Linked DNA regions of Yarrowia lipolytica. The protein of the gene in region 1 interacts with the protein of each later gene in a pairwise test. Links are inferred from orthologs where the notes say so. Each region holds a gene or a part of one and is shown on either strand. Other genes may lie near its edges. The genes, in order: YALI1_E39676g, YALI1_A03356g and YALI1_D27762g.

The links.
Region 2: the proteins of YALI1_E39676g (region 1) and YALI1_A03356g interact in binary tests that used the Saccharomyces cerevisiae proteins (3 or more experiments, as listed by UniProt). The link is inferred for Yarrowia lipolytica from reciprocal best matches to the Saccharomyces cerevisiae genes GET3 and GEF1.
Region 3: the proteins of YALI1_E39676g (region 1) and YALI1_D27762g interact in binary tests that used the Saccharomyces cerevisiae proteins (3 or more experiments, as listed by UniProt). The link is inferred for Yarrowia lipolytica from reciprocal best matches to the Saccharomyces cerevisiae genes GET3 and SEC22.

The regions. Positions count from the first base shown.
Region 1 is NC_090774.1:3,962,716-3,972,665, forward strand, and holds YALI1_E39676g (uncharacterized protein), read right to left. Parts: upstream 4,894-9,950; coding exon 3,910-4,893; downstream 1-3,909. Other genes in the region: YALI1_E39656g (uncharacterized protein), read right to left, coding at 23-2,884; YALI1_E39693g (uncharacterized protein), read left to right, coding at 6,637-6,828, 7,597-9,950. UniProt on the Saccharomyces cerevisiae protein: ATPase required for the post-translational delivery of tail-anchored (TA) proteins to the endoplasmic reticulum. Recognizes and selectively binds the transmembrane domain of TA proteins in the cytosol.
Region 2 is NC_090770.1:327,311-338,377, reverse strand, and holds YALI1_A03356g (uncharacterized protein), read right to left. Parts: upstream 2,706-11,067; coding exon 501-2,705; downstream 1-500. Other genes in the region: YALI1_A03351g (uncharacterized protein), read left to right, coding at 3,232-3,879; YALI1_A03322g (uncharacterized protein), read right to left, coding at 5,451-6,128; YALI1_A03300g (uncharacterized protein), read right to left, coding at 6,711-8,330; YALI1_A03289g (uncharacterized protein), read left to right, coding at 9,131-9,156, 9,200-9,382, 9,437-9,449; YALI1_A03278g (mitochondrial 54S ribosomal protein mL41), read right to left, coding at 10,092-10,517. UniProt on the Saccharomyces cerevisiae protein: Anion/proton exchange transporter involved in iron and copper cation homeostasis. Involved in intracellular iron metabolism during growth on fermentable and non fermentable carbon sources.
Region 3 is NC_090773.1:2,772,465-2,782,227, forward strand, and holds YALI1_D27762g (uncharacterized protein), read right to left. Parts: upstream 3,685-9,763; coding exon 3,043-3,684; downstream 1-3,042. Other genes in the region: YALI1_D27718g (uncharacterized protein), read right to left, coding at 4-271; YALI1_D27748g (uncharacterized protein), read right to left, coding at 1,477-2,262; YALI1_D27765g (uncharacterized protein), read left to right, coding at 4,003-4,097, 4,145-4,307; YALI1_D27780g (uncharacterized protein), read right to left, coding at 4,323-5,507; YALI1_D27808g (uncharacterized protein), read right to left, coding at 6,232-8,292. UniProt on the Saccharomyces cerevisiae protein: Nonessential SNARE involved in targeting and fusion of ER-derived transport vesicles with the Golgi complex as well as Golgi-derived retrograde transport vesicles with the ER.

The DNA.
Region 1 (9,950 bases):
ATTTTATCTATTCCATACTTTCTTACTCAAAGTATCGGGGAGAGCCGCTGCCAGTCTCAGGCTCGTCAAGGACATGGAATCGATGGCCACGGACACCCTGGCCTCGGAACAGATCGGGGAATCGTCGGCCAGCGGGAACCTGGTTCTCGTCCTGGATTCGGTTGTTGGTTGAGGGAGTCTTGTCGTCAAGAACAAACTTACCAAGCTGGATCTCTGTATCAGTGATGGTTCCTCGAGAGATTCGAGCGTAGCCGGTTCGCTTGATGTTCTTGTACAGAATGTACTCGCACCATCGGTCCCAGTCGGAAGGATCGATATCGGTCATGCCAGAGGCATCAACATAGGTGAGGTAGTTGTCCTGCAGAGGCTTGGTGACCAGATAGGACAGCAGAATCAGAGGTCGACCCTCGGGAGCGGACTTCATGATCTCGGAGATGCCGAGAGACTGCAGTCGTCGATCCTCAACATCCTCCTCCTGTCCAGAGTGGAAGACAACAACGTCAACAAGCTCACCGTACACGTCCAGAGTAGCATGGATGGCAGGGGCCAGCTCACCGACGGGAGAGGGAAGCAGATGGTGAGTAGACTTAACAATGGGGAACTTGGAGAGCAAGCAGCAGCCCCAAGTATGCTTGTTGGGTCCGGGGCCAAAGTCGTAGTAGTAGCCGAGCTCCTCAGCGATTCGCTGGCCGAGATCTCGGTTACCCATAATGACACGCTGGGTGTCGGACTCGAGGAAACCAATCACGTCAACCTCAAGCTCCTCAATGACGTTCCGCATTCGCACCTCGGAGGCCCACATGTCGTTATCGAGACCAAAGTGGACAGTCCAGATACCAGCCGTCATGAGCTTCTCCTCGGGGTGGTAAGGAACAGGGGCAGGCTGGTCGAATCGCTTGTAGCCGACAGCAACGGTGGCAGTGGCAATGAAGATGATAGCTAGCATAACGTGGGCTCGGATCTTCTTCAGCAGAGAAGCGTCTGTGGAAGCGTTGGACTTGGTGTTGTTCTTGGTGTTGCTGATCTTGGACTGGGCAAGTACACCGAGACCAATGGAGAGCTGCTGGGCAATGAGAACGTAGTCGGTTCGTTCTCGGAGAGCAGGTCCTCCGGGAACAAAGGCATAGGCAACGATCCAGACATGGGCCAGGTACAGCAGCGTGGTTACGAGCATGGCGAGACCCCAGGTACCGGAGTTGTATCGGCCGAGGTTCTCAAGGAAAGCGGGAGCCACTGCACACAGGTAGACGGTCAGGGTGAGACCTCCAGCGTACCCGATCCATCCGTGGAAACTGTACAGGATAGTTGTTCCGACGCAAGAAGCCAGGAAGGGGATCCAGCCATTGGCAAGCTTCTTTGTTCCGAGCCAGACACCGAGGCACATGGCCAGGATGGTGACAACTCCGTACGGAACGGGAACGGGACCCTTAACGGGGTAGCCGTCCCATACCCAGAGAATGATGGTTGAGGTATCGGAGAGTAGAGAGTGCAGGGCGAAGATGATACCACCGACACCGAAAGCGGCGCCAATGGAGGTCTCTGAGGGATGGACGGGAACCTGGGCAGAGTTCTTCTGGGGCTTGGACACCAGGAGGGCAGCCGCGACGCCCACGATGACACCGGCGGTATTCCAGCCTCCGTTAGCCTCGTGCATGATGGGCCAGATGGGGTTGTTGGTCCAGTGGGCAAACTTGAGAAGAGAGGTGATGATCAGACCCAGGATGAAGGCAGATCCCTTGTAGGTGCCGAGCAGAGGTCGAGAGGCAGAGTTGGCAAAGGTGTTAGCCATGGCGATGCAGCAGAAACCAGCGCCGAAGCCAACAGCCTCGAGTCGAGGGATAGGACCGGGAATCCACCACGCAGCAATTCCGGTGACACCGAGCAGCAGGGGCAGCTGGGGGACGAGGTTGAAGAACTTTCGGAGGGGAGAAATGTAGAGGATGACGGGTGCGCAGATGGAAACCAGTAGAGCCTCGTAGCCGGAGATGCCCATGAACCACAGGGGGAAGTACCAGATAAGCAGGGGCAGGGCGGTGAGCACAGACCAGAAAATGGTAGCGTTGGCAACGTCGATTGAGAATCGGAAGAAGTTGAAGCCAGCGGTGGCCAGGACCTTCTTGGGCTCGGTCACGGCGGTGACTCCCTTGGCATCGATAACCTTAAGCTCCAGAGCAGAGAAGTCAAGAACGGTGACGGCGTCAAACATCACGTCGAAGATGACGAGGGCCCACTCCAGGAAGGCGTAGGTGGTGTAGGCACCGGCAATATGGTGGACCTTGTGCTGGATGAAGAAGTAGATGAGGGGGGGGATTGATCCGAAGAAGCAGGTAGCGACGATCTTTCTCCACTTTCGAGCATTGGCGTCTCGAGTGCAAAGAGTGCATCCCACGGTCCAGGGGATGGTCAGAACCATGTAGGAGATCATGAAGATGTCGTGCCAGTCGTGGTCGTCGGTGGAGGTGACATAGGTCCAACCGCCACAAGTAAGGGTTCGCATCAGACCGGAGATGAGGATCATCATGGAGAGACGGGGTCGGTGAGCGACAGTCAGCAGGAACCAGAGAATGACAAGGGCAAATCGAGGGCCAGAAGTGATGGCAATGAAGACCTGGAACACAGATCGCTCGGGGTATCGGTCACCAATGGCCGCTGAAACACTGGGGAACCACTCGTCGGGGTAGCCAAAGTGCTCGTTCTGGACAATCTTCTTGTAGTGCAGAGCGCAGCCGATGATGAGGGCTCCCAGAAATGCAGACATGGCGACAATGGTGTGGGCCCAGCCAACATACTTGCCGTTGACGCTGAGCAGAGAAGTGCCCGGCTTGTTGAGGGCGTCCGACTTGGTGGTCGGCGTGGTGCCTTTCCAGTTCTTTTCTTTCGACATGATTGAGGGATGGAGAGCGTCAGACACTGCAAAAGTTGGCTAAACTCTACAGGTAGCTACATGGTGATATAGGGTTGACGTGGAGAAGTTAAGTGGTGGTGAGTTACGGTGCAAACGTGTATGTGGAGAGGTGTGGGGAGGTTCGTTTCAGGGTTGTGGGCTCGTTTCGTGTATGTGAGCTCGTATCGAGCCATTCTTTTATTCTGTTTGAAATTTCACTCGTTTATTCTCTGGTTGGCCCTCTCTTGGAAGTATCGAGCCACTACCTGACGCGTCTCAAGGTTGTTACACGTAGCAGTTGGCAGGATCACGCATGGAGAGTAATCTTAGGATTGAGGAAAGGTATGTGATTAGGAGTAAAAGTTTTGACTGCGCTGTAGTCATGAGAGCTGTCAGAATTGATTCGAGTAACTACTTCTTCGCTAGCAGAATTCTCTACCACTCTATATGACACACTCCGATCTCACCTCGGCTCATTCACATTCACACCCTGCATGAATCTGAACTCTGAAGTGTCTATTAATGGAGCAAAGGGGTGTGTGTACAAGTAGGGGATTAGTAAATGTGATATTTGGGGATTTGACAAGTAGTATACGAATCTGAACGCTTCGTGAGTGGTTCGGGTATGTCTCCGGCTTCTCTGGCTCGTTTTCATCCGATTTCAGACAGTGATATGTTGTGTTCAAGATATCCCACCAACCCCACCAAAATTCTATTCTGCACGTTAAACGACATGGGCATTGAATACTCGTTAAATTCACGCCGGAAATAACATGAGGTTCTTTTATGTGCAACGCCACAAAAACCCGATCGACGACAGTCACGTGACCATCCTCCGTATACACACGCCTCCACCTCCACCACCCCCCTTGTAACAGTACATACGCGTACTTGTACTCTTAATCCACGTGACACACCTCAGAGGTTACAATGCAAGCCCAATCTGTAAATCTTTATTAATCTACCACTACTTACAGTAATTACACCACCAGTGGAACTATGACATTCCCTCAATTCCTCACGCTCTAGTTCTCGATATGCTGGTAAGGGTGAACAAGCAGGTTGCTGAACTTCTCAAGGGCCTGGACTCCTCGAACCTCCTGGGTCTGCTGAGGAAGTCGCACAATGTGGAAGTCCTCGTACAGATCGAGAATCTGCTCCAGGTACTTCTGCTGCATCTTGTATCGAGAGGAGCAGAGCTCGCAGTCGTCTCCCTTCTTGGGGTACAGCAGCTGGTTGACGACAATGTTGTGGGTGTCAATGTCAAAAGAGGTCAGGTCCTGGACCATTCGCTCTGTCTCGTACAGAGACAGGAACTCGGGAATGCAAACACACACAAAGGTGGTGAGGTCGGGGTTCTTGAACTGGGTGTTGACCTCAGAGATGGTGGCTCGGGTCTCGTTGAGCTTTGCGAACATGTCGTCAGCAGAGGGACCCCCCTGGCCTCCCATCAGAGAGCCAAGCATGGGGCCAAATCGGCCGGAAAGCTCGGAGATCTTGCCCAGAGCCTTCTCCAGAACGGTGGGGAAGGTCAGGAATCGCAGAGTGTGGCCGGTGGGAGCAGTATCGAAGATGATGACGGAGTAGGATGTGCTCTTGACCTGCTTGAGGACCTCGGCAAAGGACATGGCCTCGTCAACACCGGGGATAGAGAAGGCAATGTCCTGCATCATGTTAGTCATGCCGGCTCCAGCGCCTCCTGCGCTCTGGGCCTGCTCGATCATCTCCTGAATGGACCCACTGGGGTCAATCTCCATGCAGTGCAGGTTGTCGATACCATTCACAGGTCGGGCGTCCTTGCCGAACTTCTGGCCAAAGGCGTCAGAAAGGTTGTGTGCGGGATCAGTGGAGATGAGCAGAACGGACTCTCGGTTCTTGGCCAGCTGGATGGCAAGGGAACAGGAGGTGGTGGTCTTACCAACACCTCCCTTACCACCGACAAAGATCCATCGGAGAGAGTCCTGGTCAATGATGTTCTGGAGAGAGGGGGCGGGGGAGTCTTCGTCCATTGTGTGTTTTTTTAGATACTTGGACTAGGGGTTGTTGAAGTACAAGTAGTTGGGGGGCAACAAGATCTAAAACTATCACGTCCCAGACAGACAGGCTCGCTGTATGTCAAGGGTTAGGGTAATATGCTTTCAGACACGAGTTTCGAATGTGATCGTACATGATGGAAGTGTGCTATTCAGAGCCTCAGAGCCGAAGAGAGTTTCTATCGAAGCACAGACAGCTGTTAACTGAAATCGGGTAATAAGGAGTCGAAAATAGTGTGTTTGAAATGTTGAATTTCTGACATCTGGGGTAAATAACAATAATAACAACCGGAAATACTGTTGACTAATGACGGTAAGTTTTTTGGAGAAATTGTTTCCGAGGGGATAACGTCCGTTTGAGGGATATTTTCGGATCTCCTACAAGTACTTGGTCCAGTTGTGCAGTGCTCATTTAAAATACGAACAAAATTACTGCCGTTATCTCCGCTGCAGTATGTACTCGTAGTAACGCTATAAAAAACTTATAGCAACGTACTGTAGTGTGAAAATAGCAGGGGGACAGGTCAATTGCTCCCCCCCCGTAGAATATGTAGCTAATGCCACCGTCTACTTGTGGCTAAAAGATCGTTGGGTGTAGTTTGTCGTCAACTGGTCCCCCCGCATCTTTCCGAAATTCTATCCTCAAAGCTATCTTGCATGTACGTGTCATCTGTCCACGGGTGATCATAGTTCTCTTCTAACGAGTCTGTCTCAAAATCACGTATTACTCTCTTCGCACTATAGCAAACCTCGGAATAGCAACTACAGGATGGGATACAGATTTCACCGTAGAAGAGTCCCAAAAACCCGACGATACTCCACCTAACCGCCCCCCCTTACAGCCTGGACGAGTTTTAATATTCCCTTTTAGCTGTAGCCAAGCCTCTGGTTGGGGCATAGACTGCATAGTTCCGAACTTCTCCGCATCACGTGACCAGAAACTCCCACATCTCAACTTACATATCTTACATTGTCCTTACTGGTCGGGCCAAAGAGAACACCGCTGCGCTTCCATGCTGCGTGCCGTTACATCCCATGATACAAAGCCGTGCTGCAATACACTTGTACAAGATAATCCTTCGCCGCACAATTGCATTGCACAACTGTGGGGTAGCACCTGGTAACACAATCCACACCGTGGGCGTTATCTTTCCCATCGCACACGCGTTGGTACTCTTCCTAAACCACCTGAAATACACAAAGCTGGCCAATGGCTATCTCCGCAACTTGCTCTATAGTATAGTTATGGGCGCAACCTTGTTACCATGTTTGAAGGAGACACACTGCCATTGCATAACAGGGAGTGAAGCAAAGTCGGCGGAAACCGTCGGAATATCGCCAAGTGGGGCTCGGGAGAAGGCTAGAGGGGTCAGTTAGACAGCTATGCCCTCACAGCGCTCAACGGGTCTGGTCCGGAAAATTCTGCAGAGTTATCCCGGGTGCTGGCCGCTGGAAAAATAGAGTTTCACAAGAAACTGTAAAACTGGGGCCGGTTCTTCCGGTTTATATAAATATTTGACGCTCTCCACAACTTACCCCATAACGAGTTAACGTGAGTAGTACAATGGGTGTACTTACGGTCGAAACGATACCTGCGGAGACGGCCAATTACGACATTTGTGGCCGCTGGAGTGGAATTGATGGAAAAAATCGCTTGCGATTCGTTTGTTTCGATTTGAGAGGGTCTGGAACCCATGATTAAATCCCGCTAACAAATAGATGCTCAGACACGCTTTATTGAAAAGGACCCCCGTCCTCCCGCGACTCACAAGTCGCAAGGCCTTCGTGCCATTGATCCAGAAACGAAAGTACTCTGATGACGTCTTCCTTACCACCAACGCCGCAAACTACATCGATGAGATGTATGCCGCATGGAAGGACGACCCCAAGAGTGTCCACGTCTCTTGGCAGGTGAGTGATAGTGGAGGAATCGGAAGCTGATGGCTTGTACTACGACTTGTGATGGTTATTTTTGGTTGTTTTGGTGGACATTCGACACTTGGCGTGTGAAGTGATGGAGTTGGGCCCAAGGTCATGGAGGCAAGTGGCTTATTTGCAACCGAACTGTATCACGGATACAGTGAGAGTGTACAGATAAGTCGTTTTGTTGACACGACACCTACGAATGGTTGACCCCTTCCTCCTTGCTCCAGAATGCACTAGCTAGCACAATTGAGAGACCTGCTGTTGCATTTTTCTGCGCCTGCCTGTAGCAATTTGTATGTCTCTCGATTGGCTCAGTACCTCTGCATCTCTGCACACTAGACCTGCCCTTCGTTTGCGGTTGCCACCACTAGACTCAGGGTGTCTTCCCGCATTGGGAGTTACGGGTTGAGCCGGAGCATGGAAAAACGTGCATGCAGGACGCAGAATTGTTGGTCGGAACGGACTAACAGGTGTATGCGCCGAGAGAGATCCCGGCGTGTGTGATTAGTAAAGGTTCTGGACGTGTTTTTGACATACCCCACCTGACTATTCCTCAATTGTCCATTCCTGGGCTTTTTGGATTTTAGTTTCATTACTTTTTGCACATGCTTGGTGTTTATCTCTAACTCCTGCCCCAGCAAGTCCCAACTGCACCTTAATTTAGGCCTCCCTGACTTAACTAAATCCCAACTAAACCTACCCAGCAAATGTATCAACCAGAAGCACGGCCGCAATTGACCTATACTAACTCAGTCTTACTTCAAGAACCTGGATGGTGGCCTTCCTGCCGACAAGGCATTCTCTGCCCCTCCCACTATTGTGCCCTCTCCCTCTGGAGGTGTTCCCACCCCCGCTGCCCCCTCCGGCGCTCCTTCTGACATCACCAACCACATGAAGGCCCAGCTGCTGGTTCGAGCCTACCAGGTCCGAGGTCACACCAAGGCCAAGATTGATCCTCTTGGAATCTCCTTTGGCTCCGACAAGAACAAGAAGCCCCCTAAGGAGCTGACCCTCGAGTTCTACGGATGGACCGACAAGGATCTCGACACCGAGATCACTCTCGGCCCCGGTATCCTCCCCCGATTCGTCGAGAACGGTAAGAACAGGCGAACTCTCCGTGAGATTATCATGGACTGTGAACGAATCTACTGTGGCTCCTACGGTGTTGAGTACATCCATATTCCCTCTCGAGAGGAGTGTGAGTGGATCCGAGACCGAGTCGAGACCCCCAAGCCTTACAACTACACCCCTGACCAGAAGCGACGAATGCTCGACCGACTTATCTGGGCTAACCTCTTCGAGACCTTCCTTGCCTCCAAGTTCCCCAACGACAAGCGATTCGGTCTTGAGGGTGCCGAGACTGTCGTTGTCGGTATGAAGACTCTGATCGACCGATCCGTCGATGCCGGAATCGAGGACATTGTTATCGGTATGCCCCATCGAGGTCGACTCAACATGCTTTCCAACGTTGTGCGAAAGCCCAACGAGTCCATTTTCGCTGAGTTCCAGGGATCTGCTGTCTTCGACGAGGGTTCTGGAGATGTCAAGTACCATCTGGGTGCCAACTACCAGCGACCCACCCCCTCTGGAAAGAAGGTCAACCTCTCTCTTGTCGCTAACCCCTCACATCTTGAGGCTGAGGACCCCGTTGTCCTGGGTAAGACCCGAGCTATCCAGCACATGAAGCATGACGTCGGCACCTTCGACAAGGCCATGGGTGTGCTCATGCACGGTGACGCTGCCTTTGCCGGCCAGGGTGTTGTCTACGAGACCATGGGCATGCACTCTCTGCCTGCCTACTCTACCGGTGGAACCATCCACATCATCGTTAACAACCAGATTGGTTTCACCACCGATCCTCGATTCTCCCGATCTACCCCCTACCCCTCCGATCTGGCTAAATCCATCGATGCCCCCATCTTCCACGTCAACGCTGACGATATGGAGGCCGTCGACTTCATCTTCAACCTGGCTGCTGACTGGCGAGCTACCTTCAAGTCCGATGTCATCATCGATCTTGTCTGCTACCGAAAGTTCGGTCACAACGAGACCGATCAGCCCTCGTTCACTCAGCCTCTCATGTACAAGAAGATTGCCGACAAGCCCAACCCTCTTGACATCTATGTCGACAAGCTTCTCAAGGAGAAGACTTTTACCAAGGAGGACATTGAGGAGCACAAGCAGTGGGTCTGGGGAATGCTCGAGGAGTCTTTCAAGAAGTCCAAGGACTACGTGCCCCATCAGAAGGAGTGGCTCGCTTCTCCTTGGGACGACTTCAAGACCCCCAAGGAGCTTGCCACCGAGATCCTGCCCCATCTCCCCACATCTGTTGAGGAGAAGAAGCTCAAGGAGATTGGAAAGGTCATCTCCTCTGTTCCGGAGGGATTCACCCTTCACCGAAACCTCAAGCGAATCTTGTCCAACCGAGGCAAGTCCGTTGAGGAGGGCCATGGCATTGACTGGTCCACTGGTGAGGCTCTTGCCTTCGGTACTCTGCTTGAGGAGGGCCACCACGTCCGACTTTCCGGTCAGGATGTCGAGCGAGGTACCTTCTCTCAGCGACACGCTGTTGTCCACGACCAGGTTAACGAGACCACATATGTTCCTCTGAACCACCTGACCAAGGATCAGGCCGACTTCACCGTCTCCAACTCCCATCTTTCCGAGTACGGTGTCATGGGCTTTGAGTACGGTTACTCCCTGGCTTCTCCTGAGGCCCTTGTCATCTGGGAGGCTCAGTTTGGTGACTTCGCCAACACTGCCCAGGTCATCATTGATCAGTTCATTGCCTCCGCCGAGACCAAGTGGTCTCAGCGATCCGGCTTGGTTCTGTCTCTGCCCCACGGATACGATGGACAGGGTCCCGAGCATTCTTCCGGACGAATTGAGCGATACCTGCTGCTCGGAAACGAGGATCCTCTCCACTTCCCCTCTCCCGATAAGCTTGAGCGACAGCACCAGGACTGCAACATCCAGATTGCTTACCCCACTACCCCCGCCAACATCTTCCATCTGTACCGACGACAGATGCACCGAGCTTTCCGAAAGCCTCTGGCCTGCTTCTTCTCTAAGAACCTGCTGCGAAACCCCATGGCCAAGTCCGACCT
Region 2 (11,067 bases), on another chromosome or scaffold:
CTCCTTTTCTTACGATGAAATAGTTTACGCCCAAAAATGTATCACCAATGATTTTTACCCGACGAGCAGCCGACCCCTGCTGGAGCGACCCAGTAGATTGCGACCTTTTGCGAGCAAGCAAGATTTACGAGAACACAAACCACGAGAGGCCTCCGAGATCCCCGCCTTGTCACATGTCTTTTTCCTTTCAGTCCATGAGCGCAACACCGAAGAAAACAGAGCGACTTTTTGACAGCCAAACGAATCTTTAGCGACTTGTTTCATGTTTGAATGCTTCTCCCTGTTCGACGTTACGCCTCTCCATTTGTATTGTGATACCCCCTCCCTTGTATTTGTAGAAACTGTCACGTAGTTTCCATCCTACGTAGAGTATGTACATAGATAGTCCCTTTTGTTTCAATTTAGCTACAAGTTACGAGTACAAGTTCTTCCTTGTACTTATCCATTCTGTCTATACGTCATCATATCGTCATTAAATTTTGTGTGGAAGTTCGCTCTAATTACCTCCTCAGGACGTATCCCTTGATCTTTGCGAGACCGTGGTTAATGTAGTCTCCTGCCTGATTGAGCAGCTTCCATACTCGTTCTTCGAGCTGCTCATTGTACTGTTGTGTTTGCAGTCGAGTGTGGTGATTGTGTTGTCGTTCAGTGATGAATTGATATTTGAGCACATCCTTTCGGGAGATAAGACCCACCAAACGTCCTTCCTTGACTACCAACACCACCTTAGGGCCCATCTGCAGGAAGATTGACGTCACGTTTTCAAGCGGAGCTAGTGGTGCCACTGTCAGCGGGCATGTGTTGATACTTGGTCTCATGTCGATGAATGCTTGCGATGACTGTCTAGCAGACTCGGGAATCTCTCCAAAGTAGCATTGGACCTGTCCGAGCTCCGATGAATGAATGTCGCGGTTCAGAGCCTTGAACTTTGCAATCAACCGAACAATCTCCTCCTTGGCAATGTATCCCACTAGCATGGGAGGGTCCTCCTTGCTGGATTCAACCACCGGGTAGCCCTGGAAGGGGTTCGATTCGAGCAGAGTCTCGACCTCCTTGAGAGTGATGCTGTCGTAGGTGAAGTAGACGGCATTTTTCTGCATTGCCTTTGAGACGGGTGCGTTGAAGGCATGCTCCTCCTTATTGTCAATGAATGGGAAGCCGTTGAACCAAATCATCTGGTCAGCGATACCTCCCTTGCCAAACCGATCAGAGATAGCCTTGGTGATTCCAACAACAATCATGGTAGGCAGAATGTATGTCAACGCACCAGTGAGCTCAAACATGATGACCACGACGGTCACGAAAATGTTGGTGATTCCAGACAATGCAGCGGCAGCACCAAGGAAGGCGTACGCGCCAGGAGTGATGCAAGGCTGGTCAACGACACATTGGCTGAAAATGATAGAGTCGGGCCGTGCCTGCTGCCAGTACTGTACAATGTTTCCAATCAGTCGTCCAAAGGTAGCTCCAACGGCCATGGAGGGCACAAAGATACCAGCAGGCACCTTGCAGCCGTATGAGATAATAACCAGGAATGTTCGGATGACGCAGGCAGCCAGGAGAGATAGCAGCATGGTCAAACCCTGTCGGTCGGGCTGGCAGAGATCGTGGTACTTCTCCCATCCATTCTCACATTCGTGGAACAGGTTTTCCATAGCAGCAGTCATATCAAGGCGCAAAAACTCGTTGGAGTAGCAGATTAGAGCGGTCAGGGACGCTAAGAGAGTAGCTTCCTTGACTGCGTACTTGCCGAGGTATCGCTTTCGGAACGACTGGACTCTCAGGTTCCATTTGCTGACAAAGATTCCGTACATACCTCCAAAGACTCCAATGATGGAGAAGAAGAAGATTTCGAAAAAGTGCCAGTCCCGGTCGTACTTGACCTGGAACATGACGAGCTGGCCAGTTCGGAAGGGGTTGAACGCTGCCAGCACACCTGTGGCTACCAGAGCACAAAAGTACGATCGCCACATGGTTTTCATCTGGAAGTTGCTGGTGATTTCTTCGAGAGAGAATAGCACGCCTCCAATAGGCGAGCCAAACGCCACAGCCACACCTGCAGCCGTACAGGCCGAGTATATTTCTCTCATTTTCGATTTGGAGTTTCGGTACCGTCCAAAGAGCGAGGCAATCACGTGGCCGGCACAAACGGCGTAGTGGACACTGGGCCCCTCTTTTCCGACGGACAGACCAGACGCAATGGCCAGAGGAAGGCCAATTGACTTGAGCAGCAAGGTCCAGGGGCCTAGAAAACCCTGCATGACGAAACCAGCAACAATGCACTTGATTTCTGAAATGCCTGAGCCAGCAGCGTAAGGTGCGTAGGTCTTGACGAGGAAGGCCGCCAGGGCGGCAAATCCGGCAGCAAATCCCACATAGACAAAGTAATTGAGCAGTCCAAAGCCAGTCCAGGACTGCCATGCCGGACAGTGGTCTCCCTCGGTGCCCCAGCAGCAAAAGTCTTCATTCAGATAGAATCCTGTAGAGCAGTAGCCCGTTTTGAGGTCGGCGAGCCACTCGGTCGAAATGTTGAGCACGGCTGCTATAGCTCCGATAGCCATACCGATGAGGGCCAGTACCAGCCATGATTGAGCTGCCGTGTAGACCTCATAGAGCTTGTGTCGAATTCGTCCTCGGGTGTCGCTTGACCCTGCTGCGACTCGGGACGCCGGTCGGAACTTTTCAATCGTCAGGCATCGCAGCATGTTTTCTCTGGCAGCCACATCTACCCAGTCGATGGTCGAGAAGTCCTCATATCTTCTGACCTCCGTCACGTCCGAGATGTTCACCGAACGTCTATGTTAGCTTGAGTCGGGTGAGCCGTTTTGTGCGCATGGTACTCACCTTCTGGTCATTTTGGCCGTGATAGTCGAACTTGTAGATTGATAGTTGTCTATGCATGAACTTTGATGTGGTGGCTGAAACGTAGAGATTGAGTGAGACTGCAAGTAAGAGTGTAAAGTAGAACAAAAATAAAAGTGGGAATAATGGAGCTGTTTATATATTTGCAGATTGAGAAATCACGACATTGGTCGTGTGCTGGGGCAGATACAAGTTACACAAACACGTTTCCCGAATATATATAGATATTAGATCTCCCACCTATTGAAGACATTTGGAAAATCAATTTCGATTCCCAACTGTACGTGATTACCTACGCCAACACGTCATGCAGCACGATCAGCCATAAAGCCAAACGCATCAGTTCCAACTAATACGAACATTACGAAGATGAGCCAGGACGTGGAAATGAGAGATAGCGAGGAGGTGGAGACCGTGGAGGAGACCGTGGAGGAGACCGTGGAGGAGACCGTGGACACTCACGAGGCCCAGGAAGAAGAAAACAACGCGCAAATCAAAGAATCCGGAGCGTCCACAGAAACACCAACAACTGCCGCCGACAAGACTCCAAACATCAAGCTGCCTCTAGCAAGAACCAAGCGAATCGTCAACCAGGACGATGACGTGTCGCTCGTGTCTGTGGCCGCCTATGCCGCCATCAACGCGGCCACCCAGGACTTTGTGCGGTACCTGTCGGAACAGGCTGGTCTCATGGCTCGAATGGACCAGCGAAAGACGTTGGCGTACAAGGACGTGGCCGAGGCGATAGCTAAGAACCCCAAGCTCGAGTTTCTGCAGGACATCATCCCCAGAACCATTCCTGCGCGATCACTTCAGTCTCGAGGGGTCCAGGTGCCCAAGGAGCCTACAGGCAACATTTCGCTAACCAACTTCTTCAAGCCCAGCGGCGCCGGGGCATCGGCAGGATCCAATGCCGGCACTGGAACTTCTACGCCGGTGAGAGCAAGCACAGCCACCAGCACCCCTGTTCCTGAGGACTCTGTGGAGGGCTCTGCTGTGGCCATTGAGATTGATTAGGGGTGTAGAGGTGTTCACTCGCACGTAAAAGGATGGAATGGGAACCCGGTATATATACATTAATATTGGCATTTGATATGGGGATGTAGATGGGTGCAAGTGTAGGTGTTTTGGTGCGTTGGGTGTGAACGTGATGGAACCGTGCGAGGTATCAGGGATGTTTTTACGGTACGTACATGTTATTACTCGCGTTTTGCCTGTTCTCACAAGCATCGGTTTTCAAGTGAGTCTTGCTGTCTTCACAATATACGATACTTCTCTTCCAGCCAGTCTTGTTTCTGGTGAAGTAAATGGAGTTTTTTTAGTTGGTCTGATTCCAAGTAAACTATGTAATTACTTAGGCCTATTGGACGTTTGGATGCAGAAAAAAACAAAAAACAGTATGATGTACTTTTAGAGAGGTGCTGAAAAGTACAAGTACTGTAAACGCACGAAGAACATCTTCCTTCCGCGGTTGGTTCAAAGAACTGGAGGAAGCCGTTGCAAGCATCTTCAAAGTCTGCACTTACTCAGTTGGGGTTCATTGACTGAACATAGTGAACCCATTCAGAGTGTGTAATGTGAGGCAACCGATGAGAGCGATGAATTTACGACGATTACCGCCAAGAATCAATTCAAGAAAGATTGGAAATATAACTTTTCTTCTCATTTCGTCATTCTGTTTTTTTCTTTTTTTCTTCCGTCTTTCGTCTTTCGGTCTCACCTCATTGCTCCATCTCCAGCTCTCCAACTGCCTCCTCTAACTTCATTTTATTTTGTCACTCCATTTCCCAGTCAAATTAAGTTGCTTCTAATGTGACAAGCCCAACGTCCTAATCTTGATAGCCGAACATGGATTACCCCCTATGTTTGCAGCCGGATGGACGAGACGATGACGTCATTGAGAAAGACACTGGACTGGAAGACTAAAACTGCGATGCAGACAACATTCACAACCGTTCCAAACAGATAAGTCAACGCTCCTGTCCTCTCGAACGACGTCCCGCTCAGCTCCTCTCGTGTTTTTCCTCCCATGTTGTGTTGTTCCGCAACTTTATTTGGTCAGACAACCTCCCAGTGACCAATGGTTCTTGAGACGCAACTCTGAATCAGCAGGTCATGGGTGATGTCAGGAATGGGACTTTAAGATGGTGGCGATGGCGGTCATGGTGGTAGAGACGGAATCTCGATAATGTGAAGAAAATGAGATGGACGATTGTGCAACTTAGCATCCCCTTATATACTTTTATCAGCGATCCCTCTACCACATTCACATGGTAACAGCGAAACCCAACATCTACACTCCACACACGATAACCACAACACACCAGCATGGCCTTTGCAGATATAGCAGATACCACACGATAACGAGGACACTCGGTAGAATTTCAGCATTTCATACTGACATCCCAGCGGAAATCCAGATCTACATCCTCCATCAGTCAAACTCCGCCCATGCTCTTGTCACCGTCATTTGTCGTCGTGTTATCTACATGGTGCTCGTGTCACCGGCCAGACTCGTGGATCGCACTGGCCTGTCAGTCGTTCGATTATAAATTTATTACACTCTCGTGCATGCACTTTTATATCCCTTAACCAATGACCAGAGTCTCGGCGTCAGCAAAGTCGTACTCGGGAATCTCGAGGTTGAGAGGAGCGGGGCCTCGTCGGATTCGGCCGGAAATGTCGTAATGGGATCCGTGGCAGGGGCAGAACCAGCCGCCAAAGTCTCCAGCCTCACCAATGGGCACACAACCCAGATGGGTGCAGACTCCGATCATGACCAGCCACTCGGGCTTCTGCACTCGCTCGTCGTCAGTCTGGGGGTCTCGCAGGGTAGCAACGTTGACCTCGTTGGCCTCTTCAATCTCTTCGGAGGTTCGGTGTCGGATGAAAATGGGCTTTCCTCGCCACTTGATGATGACGTTCTTACCGAGGGGAATGGCACCGAGCTTGACCTCGACCTTGGCCATGGCCAGAACGTCAGCGGAAGCAGACATGTTGGAAAGGAAGTCCTGGACGGTGGCCTTGGCGCCGGCAGCGGAGAGCATGCCAAACGATCCAATCATGAAGTAGGAGAAGAGACGGTTGGCATCTGTGTTTCGGTCCTTCTTGAGGTAAGGAGTGAAGTCGGGGATCTTGTATGTGGACTTGCCACCAATGGGCTGTGAAGAGACAGATCGGGTCTGAGCAAAGGCCTTTGCGGCCACAAGAGGAGTGTAGGCCTTGGGGGCCTTGACGGCCTGGGCGGCGGTTCGAAGCAGGCTCATTGTTCAGTCGAGGGTGAGTGTCAAGAGAGGTTGAAGTGTGGTGTGTGCTTGACTTGGGACCTTACGTGCAAATGTTAGCTTTTGCAAAAACTCCCTCGCAGCGCATATTTCGCCACTGTGATTGGTCCACCCGAGCCCCTACCCTGAAAACCTTAATTTGTTTGACCATTGGGAGAACTCCAAAAGCCATTGGGAGGTAAGGCCATCTCTAAAGCTGCAGTCGGTGTATGGATTGGCAAAATGACGAGTTGCCAAACAAGGCCAAAAATGCACAAATCTCGACGAGTTTGCTTACTTAATCGAGAATAATCGGCCAATTATCCCATCAAACCGGCCAGATGTCTCCTGTTTGTCGAATTGACCGAATTGAATGCACTCCCTCGGCCGCATTATCGTTTCGCTTTTGGTTGGCTGATTTCACAGTGCATTGCTGCCTGCTTTGTTCCGACCCCATACAAAGCGACAACCTTAATCGCGTCCCAACGGTCGGGGGTTCGATTCTTACGGGGGACTTTGACACAGTACCCAGTACAAGTAAATTGACACAAGAAATATAAATACTACAGGATATAAAACTACATCCTAGCAACCATCATGACAGTCAAAGTCATCGGGAATAGCACCGTATTCGTCACTGCTACTTCCACCGCCAGTCACACTGGAACCGTCATCATCCTCTGAACGATCAAACGGACGATATCCGTCAACCAACCTCATTCTCCAAGCCACACTCCAATGAAATTTGGCACCCATAGGAATGGTCCGTGCCCGACCGTAATTGGGAACTGCAACCCTTGTCCATTTCTCTTCCTCGTTCTCAACCCGGTAAGCGACCGGCATGGTTTCAAGAAACCACCAGAACCACGGTCTCCACCAAGGATCTTCTCCACGACCGTTTTCTCCCTGACGTCGAAAGAGATTTAGAGAGTCGTGCATGGGTGCAATAAGACACTCTTCGGGATCATGGTTGTTTCGAAATTCGTCAATCACTCCCTCCTTAAAGATCACCTTAAACTTGACGCTCTCGGAGAGAATCCACGCCAGAGGAATGTCAGAGAGCAAATGTGGTGACCCTCGAGGTAACCATCCTCCCCCTACGTCACCATGGTCACCTGGGAACCACAACTCCACGAGATCTCCTGATCGCTCCGGTCTATGGCGTGTTTTCTGTGTCCCAATCATATGAGATTGTTCAGAGTGAGCACGGAACATGTGGGACAGTTCTGAACGGCTGCTGCAAGGAAATCGACGTCCTGAAGCCGTGGTTCGAATTGATGACCCACTTGCAAGAACCGGTGTGCTCGCACTGATAGGGACAGGAGAAGTAGGGTGTCTCAGTATGACCATCGATCCTTTGGGTGTATGCTGCCGACTCTCAACAGGGCTGACGCGGACACTGGAAACAATACTGGTCTGTGGGCTTGCCTCAGGAGTCAGTTCAGGGCTCTGACGCTCGGCAAATATGCCGGAAGGACCAAAAAGTGTTGGGTTGTAGCAATGAGGGACAAAGAGGTTCTGTTTAAACTTGGCTCGTCGTTCATCAATGCCGACAGCATGTCGAATGTGGTGAACGATACCCGCCGAAGAGGTGTAGGGGAACGAGCGGTCCAGAATAATGCCACTGCTGTTGATGGAGTCCCACAAACCCATGAAGTAGACGCACACAGAAGGGACACTGAATGTCGACTTGAAAGAGCATGCCAGGTTGGACGTCTTGTCTTCCATAGGCTGACCAGCTGCTTCCCACGTCTTGTAGATTTCCCACGCGCAAGGTACCAGTTCGTTCTGGCCTGGAGACAATAATCCGACTCGGTCCAGCATACCTGCGAGGATTCGAGCGGTGAAGGCACCTCTTGAGAAGCCGTACAGGTATATCCGGTCGCCATGGCAATGGTGTTTCATCAAGAACATGTAGGCGGCAATAATGTGTGCATCAAGGGACCAGGCTATTCCAATGTCGACAATTTTTTCTGCGTATGAGTATGCTGCTGACCAGATGGTTTTGGGCAGGTCGACGGTGATGTGGGTTCCGATTCCGGGCTGGTAATAAACCAATTGGTTGGGTGAGTCCTTTTCGAGCATGCGGAACAGCTTGAGGACGTTGGTTTCGGGACCTGCTCCGAAACTGTTGGACGTGCCATCCAGGCAGAGAATGATGTTTTTCCCCATGCCTGGTCGAAGCCGATTGTTGGTGGGTATCATATATCCTCGGCGTATCCTTCTCCACCCAGTGAAGAGCACTGAAAGTGTTGTTGAAAAGAAGAGGTATTGTTGTAGCTGCCAGACTGTGTTTTGGTATTGTGTGCGGGATGGGTATATCTTGTCAGGTGAGGACAAAAAGGTGGCAGGTGAACGCTGGAGATCACCAGAAACACCAGAAACAGAGGAGAATAAACGTAACGCAGTAAATGAGAGCAAGAACAAACAGACTCATTCTGGCGCGCGACGTGAGGTGGGTCCGGGTTTGTGTCTCCACAAGTGCCGGCTGGTGGTGGAGGTATCAGAAGGGCTGGTGTTCAGTGTATCGATGAGACCGTGGCAAACTTGCTGTTCATGAGATGATCACGTGGAATGCTCAGTGGTATGAGTGGTGCGAATGGTATGCAATGGTATCAATGATGTGATATGGGGAGGTGGCTTGCCTAGTGTATATTGTTGTATGTAGTGTACTGTACATACTGAGATAGTTTTACAAAGTTTGGAGCATCGAGTTGGCTGAATATGATCCGATAGAAAGCATTTTATGGGAAGCCAGAAATGGCGGGAAAAGTCGGAATATAGCCGGAAAAGACTGTTTTGTGTCGAAAAGTGCATTTTAATGATACAACCACGAGCACAGTACTCGTACTTCAAGGGGATCTAATGACCCTCTACTTGACACCCCCCTAACACTCCATAAAAACATATTAACGAATTTAAAAGCTTAACTATACTGGACTATCTCCGTGCATGGACATCAGAGAAGTTGCAAATATTCCCATCCAACATTCAGGAACCCAGAAATGATTGAAATCACTTGCAACGATCGGTGAGTATCTATTTTTCCTGATCTACCAACATGTCTAACACAGTGTGGGCAAGAAGGTGCGGGTCAAGTGTCTACCTGAAGACACTATTGGCGACTTCAAGAAGCTGCTGGCAGCCCAGATCGGAACTGCTCCCGAGAAGATTGTGCTCAAGAAGGGATACCAGACCTTCAAGGACCATATCACTCTGGATGACTACGAGATCCACAACGGATCAAACCTGGAACTGTGAGTACGAGAGGAGACGAAGGGTGAGTGAGAAGCGAGAATGAGCTAACCCAGGTACTACGCCTAAGAGAGGTGCAACAAATACGATGACAAGGACCAGTTATCGAGTTATCGAGACACGTGTGGAGCGACATTGTTAGCAGGTTTCGCGCTTTCGCTTTCCGCCGCACGTGACATGAACATGGATCATAATGTATAGTGTCACTCTAGATCGCAACACATGGGCTTAGTGCTCAGCCGAATGGGGCCTGTGGATCAGCTACAATTGGCCTATGAACAGAAGTGTGTGGTGCCCCATCGAATTGAAGATTCGACGTTCGAAAAATATAATAAATCAAATCCAACTGTATTGTATCTATTCTGCGTGGAACTGGACAGTATTTCAGTTTTTAGCCAATTTCTCGAAAAACAAAACCAGACTCTAGATGTAGAAAACAAGCGATTGAAAGACAAATGTACACATACAACAAGTTCTGTCTTTTGGAATAAGTTCGATGAAACAAACCACTCTACTCCTAAGTACACCATCTAATACTTACCACCACCGTCACGTTGACTATCACTACACCGACCTACATCAACTACTAACTCCCACCGTTCTCAATCATCATGAATCATGCTCAATATATACAATTTTCGCCTCCTCTGGTTTCGACTCGTGTCCAGTCGCTCATCCTTCAGGTTTGTGTGTCACGTACCGACACGTCTCTTACTCTCGATCGATCCAGTTCTTTCGATCGGGGGCATCCTCCTCGGCAACAGGGCCGGACTTGACATACTCGTTCACCTTCTTGACGGTGAGCTTGGGGTCGAGGGGACCCGAGAAGCCTCGGAAAGAGTTCTTGATGGGCTCCAGGGTGGGGGACACAAACGGCTTGAGCTCACAAGCCTCCAGACCGGCAGGAACGACAAAAGTTCGGACCTTGTCTCGGTTGATAATGAATCGACCCTTGGAAGTGGTCTTACCGACTCCACCGGCTCCATGGCCCTTGTAGAAGTTCTTGTTACCCTGCTTGGAGGTAAGGGGCAGTCGCTTGTTACCGTTTTTCGACACACCGTAGAACAGGTTGAACATGTACCCGGAACGGTCCTTCTTCCATGGTCGCAGCAGCTGGGTCACAAACGAGGGTCTCATTGTGTGGAGATGTTTGTGTTGTGTGTTGAATGGTTTTTGATGTCGCGGTGATGATTTGGGAACCGTAAAATTTCACTCTCACGTGACGGGACAAAATAAGCTTGCTGGGAGATGATTAATAAGCTTGAAGGATGGAAGCAAATAAGGTTCTCGTATCGGAGATAGGAGATAAGGGAAATTGAAAAGATGAAATGGCGGGAGCGGAGAAGGAGATCAAGGGTCGAATTTTTGAAGAAAATGCGTGATGGGAATTTGTTCATTGAAATGTCACATTTTTTGTGGTTATTTTGGTATCAATTTTAGAGATGTTTATTCCTTGTTGAGTATTCCAGTTGGAGGCTGAGATGATTCATTGGAGACAAAAAAACTATGAATAATTCTTTACATAGTACTGTATATTACTGATTTTACCCCTTTACACAGTTTTTATCTCTTTTTTCTAGCCTTTTTCGCCGGATATTTGATCATTTCCACTGTCTTATAGTCGATACAACTCTGGGACCCCACCATTCGGGCGGTGGTGTAGTGGAAATATCTGCCTTCCCAAATT
Region 3 (9,763 bases), on another chromosome or scaffold:
CACCATCGTCGGATAACACCCGGCCTAACTGGTCGCTCTTCATTTTAGGGGGCTTGAAACGGTCGTTGGTCGTATTTCGTAAAGATTCGCGACACACAAAAAGATACGCGTCAGAGGTAAATATAGGGTTAGGGTTGGGTGAAATGTGTCTGGTAGACTGGTCTGTGGAGTGGAATGGTGATGGAGGTGACGAATGGAGATTTTGTTTTCTTTTTGTTGTTGTTTTTTGGTGTTCAGTCGAATCTGTAATTCTCGTATATCTCTTCAACATTTGCGTCGTAAATGTTGCAATTGTGGTAGGTCCAGGACAGGCCAGTAGATGCCAATTAAAAGTGGAGGTTTTAGTCAGGAGTATTGTTAAGGAGATTGAATGGCTTAGAGGAGATTGAATGGCTTAGAGAAGAGAGAATGGGCTTAGAGAAGAGAGAAATGGCTTAGAGAAGAGAGAAGGGCTTAGAGAAGAGAGAAGGGCTTAAGGGAGAGAGAATGGTCATTTCTGTCTGTTTCGAAAGAGTAAACCAGTCTAGGGGGAAAAACAGTGTGATTATGTGATTTTAATTATATTACTAGCTATATATCGGTTTTTTGAGCCTCTATATACCGTTCTTTTGAATCTCTATATTCTTCGTTTCGTTCCAACTACTGTATATCGTTGCAACTCTTTCGTTCCGACATCGCAATATGTATCGTGTCGTCTCAAGTGCCCTCAACATGCTCTACAGTAGGGAACTACGGCTGAGTCCAAAGATATCTCCGTGAGAACATCTACATAGATTCTGCATCTATGTGTCTCTACGGCAGTACTCATACTTGACTCTACACATTCCACAGTTTCCCAGGAATCGCACTTGTTTCTCTGTCTCCTGGAGATCTTTGACGACGGTGTTCACACCGACCATCGAGACATTACGAGGAGGTCACAACAGAGATTCCAACCTATTGATAGACTAACTGGACTTCTGGATCCTCACTTTTGGCAGGGTAAAGAGTGGAAAGATCTCTTTGGAATTCTCCGTCTCAGAGGACTTGTCCAACCACGAGCCATTCAAGTATCGAGGCAGCTTTTCCATGCTTCAAACCAGAAGTGGTCATTTTTAGTTGCCTCGGTATAGTCTCCATCATATATAGTGTTCTTCATACGCTCTTTCCCAGTTCTTATCCCATTCCTTATCGCATGCCATGCCTTGGTGCAAGAACTTGTATCTGGAGATCTCTGATATCATTACAAGTCTTCGAGTGGTGTTTGTACCAACAGTCAATATATACATTTTAATTTCACTATTTACAGCTGTCCGTGGACATCTTGCGATCCCGCGTGATCCTTCGTCCTTTTCCCATCAGCAGGCTGATGTGTCCTATGATACCGTTCCTTCAAATAACTCAGTCTGTAGGTGATAGCACCATCCATTTAGTGTACCCTCCAACAACATCATGGGCGACGCGAATGATGTTATGTGTCCCACTGATATTCGCTTCTTACTCCAGAGCCTTCTTGAAAGTCTCCTTATCATGCTGCTCGACAAACTGCTCGGCCTCAGAAACCAGATCGTCCATGGCCTGCTGTCGCTGCTTTCGGAGCTGCTGGGCATCCACCACAGTCACGTTGGAGCCCTCAAAGTCCTTGGCGTCCAGGTAAATGGCGTTGGGCTCCCAGTAGTTGAAGTTGGAGGTGAGCGACTTTTCGAGGTAGGAGGCAACGCCCTGAGGAGTAGCAACGGTAGAGATGATGAGATCGGGGATTCGGATACCAGATTCCTTCTGGAACTGCTTGACCAGCTCCAGACGCTTCTCCAGAGTGTCAAGAGCACCCTCCATTCCGCCAACAACAGCTGCAGACACGGTCTTGAGAGCCTCAAGGGCAGCCTCGGGCTTGATTTCGGCCTGCTTGAGCTGGAACTTGCCCAGACCAATCTCGGCAAGCTTCTCGGAGCTTAGGGGAAGCTGTTCGGCAGGCATGCCGATCACCTCCAGATCAACCGCGGTCTCGGAAGCAAAAGACTTGGGCTCCTCCTTGGACTCGGTCTTCTGCTCGGTGGCCGCAGTAGACTCCCAGCCAGCCTTGCTCTGCTGCTCAATGTTCTTGACCAGATCCTTGGTCTTGATGACGGGAGGGGCCGCCTCCTTCTTGGAAGCGTCCTTTCGCTTGAACCACGACCACAGAGAGTTGAGGCCGCCGGAGTTGTGTCGTACCTGCTGTCGGGTCACGTGGACAGGAACCACTCGGGCTGCTCGGAATCCGCTGGCTCGGCTGACTGCTAGCATCTTTAGTCGTGTAAATGTGTGAAAAAAGTTGTGGTATGTGTGAGAACCTCGCTGAGCACCACACACTCAAATTTCACATTAGGGTTTGAAATCAGGAAGGCGTGTGTTCGAGTTGGGGTTGGGGTATTTGGTGTGAGTTAATTAAGACAGCGGGCATACCAAGGAGTCCGTTGAATGGAGTGGAGAGATTGCGTGACGGATGGTAATATATCCCTTGAAGAGATGATATATTGACATTGAACGCGATCGGCAGAAAAATCAACGAGTTTGAGCAAGTGGCTATATGGAAGTAAGATGGGTTACAGTAGAGGTACGATACAGTAATTGCAATGTATATACTGTACTTGGTTAGTAATGAAAAGACCTTGATAATAGTGGAAGGATTACAGAATCAAACAAGTTGATACACGCCAATCATTGTATCTTGCAGCTTCTGTACTCACACAGTACATTCGAGCGACACTCGCGCTTTTCAAGCCTTGGTATACTTCTAAAAAAACAGAAGCTAACTAGCTCCAGTACTCTTGAGACATGCAAGGACAGGTTAATAGTATGTACTGCTTTCAGGTTAATAGTATGTACTGCTTTCCCAATCATTCCAGTAGCAACTCACCCAATCAATATATTACTATCGTATAAATCCAGCTTCTCCAGCAATATCCCGTTCAGCGAGCCGTTCACAGCGAGCTGAGACAGCCTCAGTACAGCTTCTCAGCCCGGGCGTGGCTGTCGTCGATGGCATCCATCTTCCAAATGATTGACTCATCTGCGTCCCCCTGTTTAAAAGAGCATCCACCACAGCATAAACAGACCAATGAGACCCACTCCAATGAAGGGAATGTACTGTCGGATCATGGCCTCCCAATTGATCCGCTGGGCAGCCCGTCGGTACTTTTTGCTCTCGGTCCGCAGGTTGCTGCTAAGATCGCTCATGTGATCCAGCGAGTGGCCTCGGTGCAGCAGATCCTCAATGTTCTTGGTCATGACTCGAGTCACGTCCTGCAGCTCCGTGTTGAGCTTGTCGAGGTTGTGGGTTGCTCGAGTGTCCTGGTACACCCGCTTGGTCTTCTGCATGAACGTGTCGAACTCCACAAACTTGTAGGGTCGCACCCCCTCCTTGAGAGCCTCCTGGCCATGGGACTTTTGGAACTCCCGATCCAGCTCGTCTAGGTAGCTGAAGGCGAGTTTGCGGGGGTACGAAGACTCGGAGATGCAGTAGTAAACGATTCCGTCCTTCATCAGATAGTGGATCACGTAGTTGCCACTTTCAATCGAGGCTCGGTCGGCCGAGTTGGCAGACAGCTTCTGGGTCACGAGCTTGCACTGCTTCTTCTGCTCGCTGAGGTTCTCCTGGCCGTCATCCACGCTGGCCGACAGAGGCAGGCCATCCGAGGCCCGCATAATCAGAGTAGAGAGCACCATTTTGTGTGTATAGTGATGTGGTTGAGTCTAGCGTGTACTGCTGCTGATGCGTACGTGTTAGGATTTAGGTTGGTGGGGCAAACCGGTGGTGGGATAATACGTGTATCTGGGCAGCTAGCAAGGAAACAATTGTCGATATGGAAATTCTCGCGCGGTTTTGGTGAGTCGAATGGTGTTGTTTGTTTTTCGATCGCAGCAATATTCGCGACTGTTGCGTTTTTAGCTCGTCACCTGTCATATTGGCCTATTGACCTCGGAGAGAGAGAGAGTGTGTGTGAGTGAGTTTCTGTTGGATTGAAGGGCTTATAGAGTGTCTAGATGACCATATCAATTCTCCTATATGTCGTAAATCCACTTTCAACAGGTTTTTTCGACATCATCTCTTTAGTTTCCAGTAGCTTGTATAGAGTTGAGTCACAGTATGAATGTGAATTCCTCTGAGGAATGTTAGCTCTTTGAGCAACGTCAAAAGTCGATTCAGAATAAAAACTGCTGGAAAAGAGGAGAAAATATATGCAAAGAGCCAAGCCACCCGGCTACACGTCTTTGAAACAAAAAAATATCATATATACATAGATGGTGTGTTGTTGCAACACATCCTGAACACACATCTCACTCACTGACAGTCATTAAGGCTGTTAGTTGGGAACGCTCAAATCAACATTGAACACCATGAGACCCTCATCAGCGGCTGAGAGAGCTCCCCGCAGAAAAATCTTCTGCTGAAGAGGATCCATAACCGCGCACATGGACGAGCCAGCGTACAGGACGTCTCCCTGCTCGAATCCAACTCTGTTGGCAGTCACCATGGTCACCGGGAAGTCCACGTCCGTGTTCTGGTTCCACACGGGCTGCAGACGCTCGATCCAGTACTGCAGGGTGTCCACCAAAGGCAGTTTGTTGTCGACATCGGCAGTGTAGTCGTGGAAAGTGGCCAGATCCTCGTTCTTGTACTTGGGGATCTCCTTGGGCTCGGTGATGAGTCCATCAAAGGTGGACTTGCCGTGCAGCATGGTGCACTTATGCACAATGGCGTTTCGGAGCTCGCTGTGGGTCTTCTCCTGCTCCTCAGTCATAGGGATCTTGTCGGAGGACTTGACAGGCACTAGGGAGGGAGACTTGGAGTGAGTCCAGGCCATTGGGAGCAGCACCAGAGGCACCTTGTTCTTCTTGACTGAATTGCCAAACTCGTACTCCGAAGGAGCAGACTCAAACTTGTAGGGGTTGATATCCATGCAAATTCCCACCTGGAACTTGAGAGGGATGTCCTGAGACAGAGAAGGGAAGGGTCCGTATGTCTGGAAGCCGTCGGGAGACTCGCTCATGCCCATTGCCTCGTCGGCGGTGTACAGGAACGACTTTCGGTAGGTGAAGAGGATATCACCCTTGGGAGACACCATGGACACAGAGTTGTAGGTCGCATCGTCTTGAGGGCTAAACTCGGGGTATCCGACCAGCACGTGGCCGTCGATCTTCTTGGCGCACTCTCTAGCCCATTCGATCGACTTGGACGACTCCGTTTCTTCTCGGAATGGCTTGAGGTTCTCGGGGCTCTCGAAGTTGTAACCTGTGAATGACATTTCGGGGAGCATCAAGATATCAATCTTGGGGGTCTTATCGTCCTTCTTGGCAGTGGCGTAGTACCGGTCGATGAGCTCGTTGGCCACTCCCATGTTCTTGTCGACTTCCCCGATCTCGGGCTTGAGCTGCAAACAGCCGATCTGGAGATTGAGAGGCGTGGTGGTTCGCGCGGTGGTGGCCATGGTGCGGGGTTGTGTCAGATGACGCAGAGGGGGGCTCAATCTACCGAAAGCACGCTTCATGGTGTGGTGGTGCTGAAGCCTTCGGAAGGTGCTAGGAGATGAAGAGATGTCAAGAGTTAGATGGGGATAGAGTTGCGAGAGACGACGGACTGTGTGGGGGTGATTAACAGAGTAATGACTTGTATGGGGGTATCAATGTCATGGTGGATCTCTGAGAATTCTAATGGTGTAATTTTTATTCGTATCGGTGGAATATTGAGCGAGATGAATGGTGTGATGTGTTTCGGAGGTTCTGCACTATTTACTCTGCATGCAGATGGCGTGGGGTGAGAAAGAGGGATGAGGACCGACCAGCTTAGAGGAACTTTTTTTTCATCAGATTTTTGCACAATGTTTATAGGATTCTTTGCAATTGATTTCCGGAGTTTCGGTCCTCTGGAAGCACAATTGGTGTCGTAGGGCCATCTAGATATCCAAGCACCATGCAAGCCACCAGTGCTACTACTCGTAGTTATTCAGACATGTTGCTTCACTGATATACACCGTAGTGGTGTATATTTATTCTCTCTTGTAATATTACAAGCCAGAATACAATTCACAGTGTATTACTAGTAGTATTCTATTTGATTTGATTTGGGGCTATATGTTTTATGTTGATTATGCTGGTTTCTATGCGGATTTTCACAGTTGATTAATGTTTGTTGTTTTTTGTTGGGTTTTGTTAGAACGTCTGTCTCTTTCTGACCAGTCTTCGTCTTACACTTGACATCTACTTAGCTGGACACTAAACGTCAACAAAAGCAGATCTCGCTCGCAGGCCAGGCCCCCATTTGAAAATGAACCACGGCACAGCGCACATTGCGGTCGTGATGAAGCCCAGAATGAAACACAGCTTGGCAAAAGAGACCCGCTCGATGGCCGCCATGCCGATAAATGGCAAGACGCCGGCGAAAATGGACCGCAGAAACGTCAGAGCAGACACAGCTGAGGCCGAGTACTCCGAGTGGATGTCAACAACGTAGTTGAGGGTGGACTGGAAAATGGTGAAGAATCCGATACCGAGGAACAGAAGCAGCACGACCGAAATTGCCCAGGTCTTGTCAAAGAAGAAGTAACACAGAAAGCATCCAATAGGAGGGAACAGGGACCCCGGCAGCATGATCAGGAGCCGCTTTTCGGGCTCCTTATTGCTTCCTCCGTGCTTCTTGAGCATCCGGTTGAAGTACCAGATTGACCAGACGATACCTCCAGAGGCGCATATGAGGCCGGCAATGAAGTTGAGGTTGATCCAGGCCGCTCGGTCTCGGGTCCAGTTGTGTTCCTTGACGACTGCGTTGGGCACCAGCGAGATGGCCATGTACATGAGTCCGAACATCATGGCGGCGTACATCTGCAGCGGCAGCATGACCGGGGTGAGCATGATTTGGTAGGGTCTCAACAGGTTCTTGACTGAGAAACCACGGGCATGGCCTCCGAGGTCTCGTTCTGTCACCAGGTTTCTCAGTCCGCCGGCATCCAGACTGAAGTTCCGCACAATCTTTTGCAGAATCACAGGGGCGTAAGTCTCGGGCATGAAGATGAGGTTGGAGGTGCAAATGATGAGTTGGTAGATACCGGCCACGAGCGACAAGTGTCTGAAGTCGCCGGTCCACTTGATGACCTGAGAGCCGAGAATGGGACCCATGGCTGGGCCGCCAGCGACAATAATGGCGTACAGAAGCAACACGTACGGCCGTCGCTCGGGCTTGAACATATCCTTGAGAGCTCCTCCGGACGACAGGATGGGAGGCGAAGACAGAGCTCCAGAGAGGAATCGCAGTACCATAAAGGTGGGGAAGGAGGTGACGGAGACGGTCAGAAAGGTGAAGATGAGCGAGACGAAGAAGGGCCAGAAGACGCCAATCTTCCGGCCAAATGACTCGGTCATGGGCGCGCAGAACATGGGCCCAACAGCAATACCCATCATGTAGACGGTGGTACTGAGCATGGCGACATCTTTACCGACTCCAAACATCTCTTCGATCTTTGCAACGGCTGGTCCGTACATGGAGCTGCACATTTGCGGGCCAATAGCAGATAGGGCCTGGGAAGCAACAACCAGGTACTTTTTGTAGTTGGGCCAGTTGAATGGGTACCTGGGGTCGTTCTCTGTGTCCCACTGGACAATATATGTGACACAGTTAGACCGTCGACATCGTTCTCGAAAGTGTTCTTGAGAGCTCTGGGAAGATGTTATGGAAGTCGAGAGAATGATTCCCGAGTCTCCCGCGTAGATCTGGTCCGTCTGGGTAGCGCGTGTGGTCTTTCCATCGACTGTGGAGGCGTCATCGGAGGACCTGGAGGATGAGATCCGGGTTGTTGATGAGTTGAGCGACGACTCAGACGAGTAAGTCGATGAGTGGGGCACGGCTCTCAGTCTGGCTACCTCTGGAGGCGTTGGACTTGGAGTGTCCATCCTATGACCCCTCGTACTTGTCAGAGACGCCAGTGGCAGAGTTGTCGGCGGATCCTTCTTGAGGCGAAACAGGTTCACAAACGAGTTGAAGGTCGACTGGGTCTGATAGCCATTAGGAGACTCGTCTGGGAGAGCATATCGAGAGGTGGAGCTTTTGGGTGCCTCTTCTTCAAAGTCGTTGTTAGGACTTTGGTTAGAAGAGCTGCTCATAAACAACTCACTTGGAGAGATCGGGACAGACTGGGGCTCGCCAAAGAGGTCGTCGGCAGTAATGGGATCGTCAGAACCGCAAGCGGTGGAGACATAGACGGGCTTGGAGGAAGAGGCCTCGGAAAAAGAGGCTTCGGAAATGGAGGACAGGCCCTGGCATTCGGAAGAGACGGAAGACATGGTAGACTCGAAAGGGAAATTTTGGGAATCCTCCACTCGGAAAACACTCGGGTTTATGTACCATCTTGACAGTTAGGACTCTCCCTCACCAGTACCGACCATAAATTTTGGACTACTCGACCAAACTGCAGTTTATGCTGTTCTGGGGATGTCAACTTGGAAGAGGTAAGTAGGGGGGGAAATTGTGGGGGACAATGTGGGCAGGAAGCGCCAAAAGTGACAATTCAAGGGCGGTTTTTTTGTCTACTGAACTGTTGGTCTTCTCTACTCACCGCTATGGTCTTTTGACGGTTACTCTACGTCTCCAACATCATCATTGGCGTCGGACAAACATTCTCTCCTGCTCACTAATCTATGTAAGGAATAGAGAGTATAGGCAAAAAGAAAGGATTTATGGAGATAGGGAATAAACACGAGTGGAGAGAAGTTTGTGAGCTGTGCAAAATTTTAGCCAATCCATATATCATCTAGAGACGAGACCCCTGAATGTGTTACGAGTGCGGAAACGACCCCAAAACAACACCAGAATTAGCAAAAGGACTAAAAAGGATCCATGTGCATTGTTAAGACGCTTCATATGATTCCTACTTGGTCCTTTTGCTCCATATTAGAGCTTCCACTCTCCCACCCTTGCACTTGTAGACCCATACATCATTGTTTAGTATGGTGGAGAGTACAATGGAGGCTGGCATAGTGGCAAGCCATGTCCACCTTGGGGCTGTAGTCGGGTAACTATTGCGTCATTCTGTCGTCCATTAGTGCTATAATACCAAAGCACAAGTAGTGCACAATACCTGATTCAGCTCTCGTGAGTTTTCAGCTCATAGCGTTGTCAACTGGCAGTGTTGGGCGTTCCGCGGTCATAGAACCGATTAGAATGGGGGAAAAGAAGGGAAGCCAGAGTTATTGTTCTTGGTGCCATGTTATCGATTGCTTTTCCCCGTCAAAAATCACTGCTGTCAGATTCGGATCATATACACACGCCAAACAAGATGCATAAGTAGACGTCAAATGCAAGTACTTGTACTTGTACTAAAGGGAAACTAGTTGAGCAGTTTGTTTAGGTTCAAAAAAAGCAGATCACAACCGACCCATTACTTGTCGTGGTAAGATGAAAATTAATATACGAGATCATGACAGTCATACCACGGTATATATGAAACCATGGCTCTTTTCCACGACGTTTCCACGACTTTGTAACCCCTTCTCAACCACCTTACATTTCCCTTCCGACTGACCAAAAGTTAATCAAATTTACCTCCCAGTTGCCGACGATGAGCCGATAAAAACGGACATGTTGAGGAGTGAGATACAAATAGCCCTGAGAGAGCCGGTTACAGCGGCGTTTTCCAATTTATTAGAACACCCATGCTACCACTCTACAGCTCCCCATACAGTCTCAATCGAAAAACAGTCGTCAGGTGTCATTACACGTTACGGAAGTTGCCGCTTTTATGTCTACAGATTCATC